Xenopus tropicalis: one gene and its partners. The protein of the gene in region 2 purifies or fractionates together with the protein of the main gene of each other region. This does not show direct contact. Links are inferred from orthologs where the notes say so. Each region holds a gene or a part of one and is shown on either strand. Other genes may lie near its edges.

Evidence for each region.
Region 1: the proteins of csk (region 2) and tns3 purify together in Homo sapiens (affinity purification with mass spectrometry; 4 studies listed by BioGRID and IntAct, with this or other methods). This does not show direct contact. The link is inferred for Xenopus tropicalis from reciprocal best matches to the Homo sapiens genes CSK and TNS3.
Region 3: the proteins of csk (region 2) and tns2 purify together in Homo sapiens (affinity purification with mass spectrometry; 6 studies listed by BioGRID and IntAct, with this or other methods). This does not show direct contact. The link is inferred for Xenopus tropicalis from reciprocal best matches to the Homo sapiens genes CSK and TNS2.

The regions. Positions count from the first base shown.
Region 1 is NC_030682.2:58,935,626-58,939,815, reverse strand, and holds the start of tns3 (tensin-3), read right to left. Parts: upstream 2,872-4,190; 5' UTR 2,646-2,871; intron 1-2,645. UniProt on the Homo sapiens protein: May act as a protein phosphatase and/or a lipid phosphatase. Involved in the dissociation of the integrin-tensin-actin complex. EGF activates TNS4 and down-regulates TNS3 which results in capping the tail of ITGB1.
Region 2 is NC_030679.2:94,042,761-94,046,415, forward strand, and holds the end of csk (tyrosine-protein kinase CSK), read right to left. Parts: intron 3,029-3,655; coding exon 2,833-3,028; intron 1,995-2,832; coding exon 1,908-1,994; intron 1,315-1,907; coding exon 1,132-1,314; 3' UTR 253-1,131; downstream 1-252. UniProt on the Homo sapiens protein: Non-receptor tyrosine-protein kinase that plays an important role in the regulation of cell growth, differentiation, migration and immune response.
Region 3 is NC_030678.2:147,549,904-147,553,083, forward strand, and holds part of tns2 (tensin-2), read right to left. Parts: intron 3,094-3,180; coding exon 2,962-3,093; intron 2,808-2,961; coding exon 2,715-2,807; intron 2,100-2,714; coding exon 2,022-2,099; intron 1,759-2,021; coding exon 1,681-1,758; intron 1,593-1,680; coding exon 1,427-1,592; intron 1,347-1,426; coding exon 1,278-1,346; intron 1,151-1,277; coding exon 1,121-1,150; intron 224-1,120; coding exon 82-223; 3' UTR 1-81. UniProt on the Homo sapiens protein: Tyrosine-protein phosphatase which regulates cell motility, proliferation and muscle-response to insulin. Phosphatase activity is mediated by binding to phosphatidylinositol-3,4,5-triphosphate (PtdIns(3,4,5)P3) via the SH2 domain.

The DNA of each region.
Region 1 (4,190 bases), on a different chromosome or scaffold from region 2:
GCAGATGCATTTACGCTCAGGACAAGTACAGGGGAGTGAAGGGAGCTAAATCGGTGCAGGTACCTGTTATGATTGGTACAGATATACACATAACTTTGCATCTGCTTTTGCATGGAGTAGTTGTGGTCGTGTTTGTAAATGTGCCTTATTGGGTTTTGACCTGGTCACAATGAACATGAAAGACAGCACAAATAAAATATTAATATAAAAAATTCAGCGATGGGATTATGGGATTAACTTCCCCTTTAAAGGTGTGAAACTGAAAACAGTGAGAGGATTAAGTTCCCCTCTGAAGCTGGGTGAAACGGAAAACAATGAGGGGACTATTCTAAGCCTCCATAGGACTCAATGGTACTCAACAGATCAAACCTGTTAAATTTTTATTTTACAAAAAAGTTAACTAAACAGTAATAACTCAAATTATGGGGGTTATTTTAGAACAACTCAAATTTTTCTGGGAATAATAAAAAAAAAAAACGAGTTCTGGTGAAAACCCACTTGTAAATCTCGAAATTATCTAGAAGTGAGAAAAAATCCAACTTTATCTCATAATTGCTTAGTAAATGTGCCCCTTTGGGTTTCCCAAAGATTTGACTGCTAGAGTTTATTTATTATCCTTCCATTCAGTGATGTAATGGAGAAATGAAACATAAAATAGTTCAGTGTGTCTAGTTGTGTGAACCAGCATTACCCATCTTACTAGCAGTGTTGCCTGCAATGCTCCAAGGATCCAATGTAGAGCCGCAGCTCTATTATGTAAGCAAGTCTGGATTTGCGGCAAATTGGCGGATTGTTTCGCGAAACCGATGAAAAAATTCGCCGAGGAAAAATTCGTCGAGCATCCAAAAATAGCCACGGGCGACAAAAGAATAGCCGCACAACAAAAAAATAGCTGCGCAACAAAAAAATAGCCGCGGACGACAAAAGAATAGCCACAGGCGACAAAAGAATAGCCACAGGCGACAAAAGAATAGCCGCAGGCGACAAAAGAATAGCCTTGCAACAAAAAAATAGCCGTGGCGACAAAAAAATAGTTGCTGCCGACGGTTTTTTTTGACGTGCGTCATGTTCGCAGTTTTGCGAACTTTTCGCCGTATCGCGAATCTTTCGAAAGATTTGCGAATTTTTCGGCAAAGCGAAATGGGACAGATTCACTCATGACTACTGATATGGCTTTAGTTGTCTTTCCTGAACTGCATGGATATTTTATCAGCAATAGAAGGTTAGTGATACTACTTGGCCCTTTGGCAATATCACCAAATGAGCAAATTTTTACAGAAGTTGCCAACTAACAAATTAGGATGATATTTAATCAGAGCATGTAAATAATATGAAAACATCATATTATATATTACATAATAATTAGTGCTAGAATTTAAAAAGAGAGCATTGTTGCATTGTTTTGCCATAGCCTTGTTTGTCATTGTGAGCTTACTTTAAATTACTTGTGCAGTTCACAAAATGTATGAAAGGAGACACACTACAGATGTAAAAATTAACAGGTTTAACATTGCAGGATGCACTGTATTTTTAAGCAGAATAACCTTTGTTGGACACAAATAAAACATAAAGTGAAGCGGATTCATCCTAAATATGATGTGTGTTGCAATGTTGGAATAAACCTGGTGTGGTCAGTGTATTGGGTGCGTGCTTACTTTCATATTATAAAGCAAACAAAACTGGAATGCGCTCCCATAGTGTAAAACACCAAGTATTATTTTAAAAAGTATTTTATATTATAAAATAGCATGCCCCTCTGTTTTGTTGGATTTATAGATTATATAGATCATTGCCTGCACATTATCTAGACATTGGCTAACTTCTTACATTTCATTACCATGGGGAGCTGCCACATTCCTTTGTTGATCACACACTGATTACATCTCCTTTACCTCATGCCCCCCTCTGATCTGAGTTCTGATATTGGGGTACCATTGGCATAGGAATGTGATAACCATTTATTTGTGTGTATAGGAAGGGGTCACTAATCTGAGGTCTGACTACTTTGGCCTCATATGCGGCAGGGATACAGGTCTGGGGTCTGCTATTCATATCCAAATACACATAGGAGGACTAGTCATATGGTGTAGGGGGGGTTGGGGTATGCTACTTACATCAGTGCATGCTGGGGAGGCCACTGGCCTGGGGTCTGCTACTTACAGCAGTGCATTGGGAGCCATTAGTCTAAGGTCTCCTACTTACATCAGTGCATGCAGTGGAGGCCACTGCATGCATAAGTCTATGGTCAGCTACTTACATAAGTGTGTGCCGCTGCTGCCACTGGTCCTTTCCTCATCAGTGCATGCAGCGGATACAACAGGTCTAGGGTCTGCTATTTATATCAATAAATGCAGTTGGGACCACTGGTCTGGATTCTGTTACTCATATCTCTGCATGCAGTAGGTGCCACAGGTCTGGTATCTGCTACACATATCTACGCATGCAGCGGGGGGCCCAATATCTTCTTCGAAAGTTGGGAGGTATGCAACTTTCTTCCTTCTTTTCCACACAGGAATTTAACAGTTCCCTAGAATAACAAAGTGATTGAAGCTCCTATACAAACAAAGGTCAGGCCCTGCCGAGGCATGAGTCTCTCTCCCTGCACTACCTAACCTAGGGCATGACTTTAAACAACAGCATGTTACCTTAAACCAGCAGCTGGAACTGGGAATTGCTCTAGGCAATGGAGATTGGAGCACTGTAAATGATCAGCCAGGTTGGGAAGGAGGTGCTGAAATATTTAGTTCTTTAAATCAGGAAATCCACAAAGCTCCGTCCAGTTAGGATAACTCCAACGTACATTGTAGAGAAATGAAAATTAGTGCTTCTTGTTTTGATTTCCCTTGTTAGATTCGGGAGTTTTCTAAAACACTACCGTGTAATCACACGTCTATCTGGGCAGCCTTGTGTTCCTCCTCCTTTCTGCCCCCAAGCAGGCACTTCCAACAAGTGTCCTCCACCCCCTCGTATAGGGAAGCAGAGCCAGACTCTCCTGTTCCCTCCTCCCTTGCTCAATCTCACTCACTGCTATTTCACTCTTCGTGCCTCAAAACAAAGTGTGCCTTGGAGGTAGGCTGCATTTCATAACATATTATTATGAGATGAGAAGCAGAAAGTGGCCGTTACATTTAGTACAAACCATTATTCAATTGTCACTGCCATTTATTTGTGCACATAGGAAGGAGGTCACTAATTTGAAGTCTGACTACTGGGGTCTGCTACTTACATCAATGCATCCAGTGGGGTCCACTGGTTTGGGGTCTGCTACTTACATCAGTGTATGTAGTGGGGACCACAGGTATGGGGTCTGCTATCAATATCAATGCATTCAGCAGGGGTCATAGATATGGGGTCTGCTATTCATATGCAAATACACATAGCAAGGGCTACTAATATGGAGGGGTTGAGGTATGCTACTTACATCATTGCATACAGCAGAGGGCTACAGGTTTGGGGTCTGTTATTTAAATCAGTGTATGTAGTGGGGGGCCACTATTCTGGGATCTGCTATTTACATCGGTGCATGTAGTGGGGGCCACTAGTTTGGGTTCTGCTAATTACTTGAGTGCATTCTGCAGGGCCACTGATCTGGGGTTTACTGCTCATATCAGTGTATGCAGTGGGTTTAGGGGGGAAATTCTGGGGGTTACGCTCTGCTCCTTACATTAGTTTATAAAGTGGGGGCTGCTGGTCTGGTGTCTGCTACTTGGGTTTAGCTGCCAGTTGGTGCCATTAATATGCTTATCAATATGGATCCTACAACTCTGGCCTTGATGTAACACATCTTCCTCTGGAAATTAATGGGAACAATTTTTCTTCAGTGAAAAAAGTTTACTGAAATTGCTAACCGAGGCCATAACAGCAACAACTTTATTGTCCCAATTTCTTGTCAGCCCATCAAAGCCCCACAAGCTGAGACTTTGACCTCACTCCCCATACAATATAAAGCATGGCTGCCTAGAGAGTAGGTGGAGTCCAGCTTGCTGCATGAAATGCTCGAGAGACCACCACTGTGTCTGTTTTTCCAAACATGTAAAAAGAGGTGTGGTTACACATTGGGTGTGGCTAAAATATGCACCGCCCCACTACTCAAAACAGTTAACTATGTCCCTCTCTTAGTTTTTCAAATGTTGGAAGATGTGCAACTTTCTTCTTTCTTTTTTAGTAGTTCCTCAGAATAACAAAGTAAA
Region 2 (3,655 bases):
TGCAAAATAATGCACTCAAAATTTATTGGAGCCTGCCAATAAAAGAAAAAAAAATGCAGTGGAATCCACTTTCCATCACAAAAAAGATCAATAAGGAGAGCTGAAAGAATAACCTGCAGGAATGTCCAGTAGGATTTGGAAACCAGAAACACAATAAAGCATACAAAACCTGCAATGTGCAGACCAATGTGCAACTGCTTCGTAAGAATTACGACTGATAACAGGACCGTCAAGAAGTGGTGTGAAACCCTGTGCCCTGCAAGCACTAGCATTGGATTTATTTGAAATGTAGAATTGAATTAAGAGGCTGTATGAGTAGAAAGGTCTGCAATCATTTTCTTCTTCATCCTGTAGAGTGAATTTGTTTTATGGACATGTGTTAACATGAGCCTACAGGGGGTATTAGGACACAAAAGTATCTGTATATAATACAGTAGTTACATTCTCAGGTTGGGGGGAATTCGTTTATCCTTGAGGATACACAATACTGTTGAATTAAGCCAGCAGCATGTGTGTAAAAAAAAAAAAAAAAGGCAGGCAATCGTGAGATTGAAAACATGAGAAGTCAACATGTACTGTGTCACACCACGATAAGGATCCCAAATTTTCACAGCAGAAATCTCTTCTCATAGTCAGCTCTGTATATTGGTTAAGATTAACCGTATTAAATAAGGCAGACAAGATACAGAAGTGAATTTTCCAGTCTGTAAAATGTATCCTTATCTGTTCAACTGGCAACGGAACTGGACTGGATTGTTGCATTTGCCACCTAATTGTGTCCAAAGCCAAGGCAATATTTTCCAATTAGAAGTTCTCAGCTGATCTCCATGAAGTCTCTCAGGCCCACCCAAAACAGGCAATTAAAATATGAGGGAGAAATAGAGATTTGGCAAAAATCAATGTAAGGAAACATCTGCATCCTTCCACAGACCAGCAGATTATAAGAATATTTTATGGGCACTAAGGTGGTAGCTAGTGCAAGACAGGTAGGTCAAGAGAGCCCAATAAGTAATTATTACTGTGCTGAAGTCTTTCTGGTGTTATATCTCATATTCCTGATATTGTGGAGTCTGTCTCTCAGGCCAAGGAATGGCTCTTTTGTGACAGAGGACCCCTAGCCTTGCACTTGCTTCAGTGAAACAGTTCCTTCGCTTTGATATGCTCTAGCTGTTCTCGCAGATTCCTAAAAGTGGGTCGCTGTTTTGGGTCCAGATGCCAACACTGCTTCATCAAATCATATACAACAGGAGGACATCCATCGGGTGCGTCCATTTTATACCCATTCTCCACCTTTGGTACCACATCTTTGAGGGCCTAAGAAGAAGGAAACAGAGTTTAAGAAATCATGATTAGAAGATTCATTAATTATGATAGAAACACTGTAAAGTTGTAAAATCCAAACTGCCTGCATTCATATGATAAAGTGTATTAAAAAAAAAAAAAATCAGTAATTAATGAATAGGGCAACCCCCCCCCATACATGTTTCACTCACCAGAGTAGCAGGGTGGGGAACAATATTTTCACTGTTGCAACCAGGCAGGCTTTGGATCTGGATCTGCTGTCAGCCATGAAACCCTGCCAAATGTAGCCATAACAGGATATGTGCATATCCAACAAGTGGCCCTTGCTCTATTCCAGCTCACATAACACAGGTCACATTATGTCTGTGTACATCAGTGATCCTTGGCAATTCCAGGCAAATCCTGCTTGGTTGTTAGTGACTATATTGCTTCCCCAACCGCAGCCTGGGCTGTGATACTGTAGTGTTATACAGTATATACAAAATAATAAAGGCTTTCACTTTCTCAAATGAGTCACATCAATCATTAAATCTAATGAGTGGTGTATGAACTAAACTCTGCCCAGTGAATAAATTGACTGGATTCAAAACTGTATTGTTACTTACAATGCGTGGATAAGGCACTCGCCCAAAGGAATAGATCTCCCATAACAGAATTCCAAAGCTCCAAACATCAGACTTGGTTGAAAATAGCTGTAAAGCAAACATATGTATAATTAGTAATGCACCTTTATTACAGCATTAAGCTTGAAATTCAAATATTGGATTTGCCATTCCAAAAAACAAGAACCAAAGAAACAGCACAATGCAAAGAGAATATCTACTCAAAATATTCTTGTGTTAAACTTTTATGGAAAAATAGTGTTTTTTACCCTTTAAATTACAACACACTATACTGAATATATGTTACTGCGACTGTATACTTTGTCAGTACTTTGGAGAAGATTTTGGAAATTCTGCCCCCCCTATCCCCACTTTTTTTCTGACATTTCTTGATTTCACCCAATATATGCATAATTTCTAAAAAGAGCTTTAATTAGAAAGAGCTTTTAATTAAAATGTTTTTTTTTTTTTTTTAAAAAGATTAATCGCCACAACTTCTAAAAAATTCGTTCGCGGCTACTTTCCCACCATAGGATACTGTATAAGTCACTGCAACTAATCGCGCGTGGGTTTTCACTTTGTGGATTAGTTGCCACACTTTTTAAAAAGTTGTAGTGACTAATCGTTGTGTGTGTCTTCGCCCTAAAATATGGCAGAACACAGCAGAGCTGATAGCAAACATTTAAAGCAAGACATTATTCCAGCCACTGGCACTAAACACACTGAACCTAAGCTTCTTGCTACAAAAATTCATAATGTGTGTTCCCTTAATCTCCCAAACATTCTACTGTACATTGCCAAAAAATGGAATCCTTGGCCATAAGCTTTTTTTTGGAAAGGAAACCCTAGTACTTTGTCCTAAATTATATGGCACAAATACTATAACTTAATACGGAAAACTTGTAATGGAGGGCAATTTTACACTTGCCTTATCCCGCAACGCTTCTGGTGCTGTCCACTTAACAGGCAGTTTGCTTGTGTCCTGTATGGCGGATGCTTCCTTGGTGAGTCCAAAGTCACTGACCTTAGCAATATTTTCTTCTGATACCAACACATTGCGTGCCGCTAGATCTCTGTGCACAAAGTTATTACTCTCAAGATATGCCATACCTTCTGATACATCCCTGCAGGGACCAATGAAAAAGAAAACACCTAAAATTCAATGTCTGATTGGGCATCTACAGTGAAGTTAGTTCATACAGTTTAGGTAAGTTTGTAATATATAGCTTGCTAAAACTAGCCCCTTGGATATCAACTACCATCTATGTAAAAACCCCTTAATCTTTGATCTGCTGGTATGCAAGTACCAAAGAATTGTTTGGTGGGGCCAAAGCTACCAAGATTTCAACCAAGCTTTTCTTATTTGCACCACAGCTGTTTAACAACTACTACATTACCTGGATGTACTGTCAGGCCCTAGGAGATCCAGTATAACTACTCCATTTTTTAACAGTTCCATAAATGTATTACGTTTCCATATTTAAAGGAACAGTGAAGGGTCCCTCATATTTAAATACAATGGTATCACTAAATACAACATGCCAGTAAGTTCTTTTGTACATTTTTAAAACTTCAAAATTAGAAACAAAACTTATATTTAATCTACAGCTTGGGAAAGCATGCTACATTTGAAGAACTGGTGGCATTTCATATTAAGCACTTGTGTGCAAAGTGGGCTGCAGTCTACTAGATGATTTTGCGGTTCTACAAGGGCTGGTTAAGTATGTCTAACAAGCTTTAATTTTGCAGCT
Region 3 (3,180 bases), on a different chromosome or scaffold from region 2:
CACATCTAGGTGCCACCACATGACTTTCTCTGACCTTCAGGCTCCTTCCCCAGAGTTCCTTCCCATTCAAGAAGTTATTGTTTATCTTTTGTGTGCTCCCAGCATGACTTTGGTGATAAAATTAACAATGGCTGATGCTGGCTGCTCAGGGTCCAGTTCTGCAAAAAGGTGGCACACGTTTTCAGCTGCAGTGCCCGCCTTTCGAGCCACAAAACCAAACACCCTGCAATGGGGAAAAAAACAAAGAAGGCTTTAGTCAGGGAAAGAAGAAACAGATGGGGCAGCTTGTGCAACAGCCAATCAGTGAGACTGAGGGCTATAAACAAGGCACTTTTGCTTTCTGAGTTATTCATCTTAGGGATTATTAATGAGAAAAAGGCCAAAAGGACACATATCTGCCAGTGCTGCTCTCTGCACTCTGTGCTGTTTTTCTTGTGCCCCTTGGTGCTCTCACACTTGAGCCATCTAGTTGGAAAGGGGCCCCCTCTTACTCCTGTGCAACCAATATAGATCCATTACTCTGTTTCTGCTTTATACAGCAGGAGTATGCACAGTCTGGGGGCTACTCTATTCCAGCTACTGCTCAGTAACACCAAACAAGCCTTTTACCATTTACATAACTGTTTAGAAGCTGGAAGGTGCCAAACAGATAAACCAACCAATTCCAAGGGCATGAGGAAATATTCCTCAATAGATGATGATGGAGCTGTGTCTTAATAATGATAAATGGACTTTAAATGGCAGAAAATGTATTTTTTGTTATGTCGAATGCTGATTTATTTTAGAGAGCAAGAAAACATAAGCAAGCTCGATGCTGCTCATTCCTTCCTGCCTTCCATTCCAAACAGACTATTGATGCAGGGGAACCATAAAGCTAGTGCCACCTATTGACCAGGCAGTAGCTCCAGGGTTCACTTTGCACCCAATGTCAATAAGTACAGCAATGTTTCTGGAGACCAGTTTTTATCCATGCTTCCTCTGGCCTCCAATAAAACATGTTGTCTAGATGCCCTAACTGAAGGTGCCTGCATATTCCTCTCATTATAAAGAAGGCCCTGCATTGACTACATTACGATGGGAAGCAATTGCAAAGCCAGAGTAAAAATAAAACTATACATACTTCGACGTTGTCCTGTCTGGATTGGTCCACCTGCAAAAATATTAGGAAATAAGTTCTTTGTAGTCAGAATTTTCTATGGTTCTTTTAACTAATGAGCAGTTAGATATTTTCTAGGTGCTTTGTTAGTACAGTTATAGGATTCTAACTGAATGGGTACCTGCGATCCTGTGGGTCGCTATTGCAGAATGTTACGCTAGAAACAGGATAATGACGCCTGAAGAACAGTCTGGAACACATGAAATTATCATAGTTACATGACATCATACCACTGAGCGCTACAAGCACTGTAACATAAGCCCGACTCACTTTCTCTGGCTGTCAGTAAGAGTGATACCCTGGTCAGACACTTTGAAATGGACCGTAGTTGCACTGGACCGTGGGGGTGTCAGGATGGCATTTGATGCTCTGGAAATGGCCTGGGGTCCAGTTAGAGATTCTGTGTCCACAGAGCCAAGGTAGAGCACACTGCATGCTAAAAGGAAAGCCACACAAAGAATGAAGTTGGATCCATTCTGATTCAGAATCTACCCCTAATTTCATCTTGCTTGTAAGCCACTTACCTGCTCCTTGTCTCAATAAATCTGCTGCTGTGCTCATGTTTGTAGGCACCATGACCTCTGAGCTCTGCTCTATCAGATCTGGGAAAGAGAAGATTCAGCCAAAGATTAATTCTTTGCTATTCCTAAAATATACAGGATTTCCTTCTAATCAATGGCGTAACTTTGCACCAGCAGAAGCCAGTAGAGAAAGGGACTTGAAAAAAACCCCCAAATTTCACAACTCAATAGTGGGCAATAGTAGGGAGTGTCAAGATTCCATAATAGTGCAAGGGGAGGGCAGAAAATACTGTACATAAATTGCATATCTTAAAATGTGCCCCAAGACTTTGCATCCTACTCACCACGGGAAGGGATCTGAAGTCTGCATGGCAAAGAGAGTGGGGTGACTGAGTGCTGAGACACCAGGGCGGAGAGGCTGCCTAAATAAATGAAACACAAATTAGCAGTGATTCTAACAAAGTCTAGTTTGGTGACTAAAGGTGGTCATACGCCTGAATATACACACATTTGGCAAGATCTTTGCCCTATTTGGTCACCTTTGTCCTGGTCTATATAAGGCATATCTGATCGTTACAATCAGATAATAGCAGAGGCCAATGCAGGCCGTCAGGAGAAGACTGCATCATCGCTTACACGTTCCATGCCCTAACAGGATTTATTTTACCTATCTGACAGCAGATGATCATGGTGAAATGGACCTGTTTAAATGGACCAACTAGGCCGTCCCATATCAGCACACGTCCTAAAGCTGACCATAAACAGGAAGATCTGCAAGGTTGCCAGACAAGTACAACTTTTCCTGCTTTGGCCACATGGATGGAAGGAAACATTGTGCTGATTGACCTTCAGATTTTCAAACCTGTCTGATAGTCATACAGGACATTATATTGGCCACATACTCAAGCAGCCATTAAGGTACAGACTTGGCCTGGATTGGCCAGACAGTGTATGGTCATTTAAAGATTAAAAAGCTGGACTATCAAGGCATTATGCGCTGATTCATAAAATAATCATAATAGAAGCAGTCATTTTACCAAAATGGGGTTCAATTGGTGATCCTTTTATCTTCACTCCTTTTGGTCCAGTCTCAATGAGGAAATGGCGAACCAGCTGCTCCGTAGAATCTCCTGTGGCACAAAAATGGAATTAGAATATAACTAAATCGAACAACACTCCATAGATAGTTCATTGTTGTGTTGGGCAACCTGCAGCCCTGCAGACGTTGCTGAAGCTCCAGGTTGCCCGTGGCTAATCTAACATCAGCTCTAACTAGCATGTTACCTTTATAGGGCTGCGCTGCTACATTTGGAGGAGGGCTGGCGACCTTCAGTGCCAAACCATATGCCCCACGGAATGAGTTACTGTCCCGAATAAGGAAGGAGCCTGGCTCTGCACCTCTTAATATGGCAATAGCTGAAAGAGGAAATATAAGGAGAATAAGTAGCTTTATAACACACAGCAGTAGCAAATGTTTTATGCAACTGAAGCAGGGTGATTAAC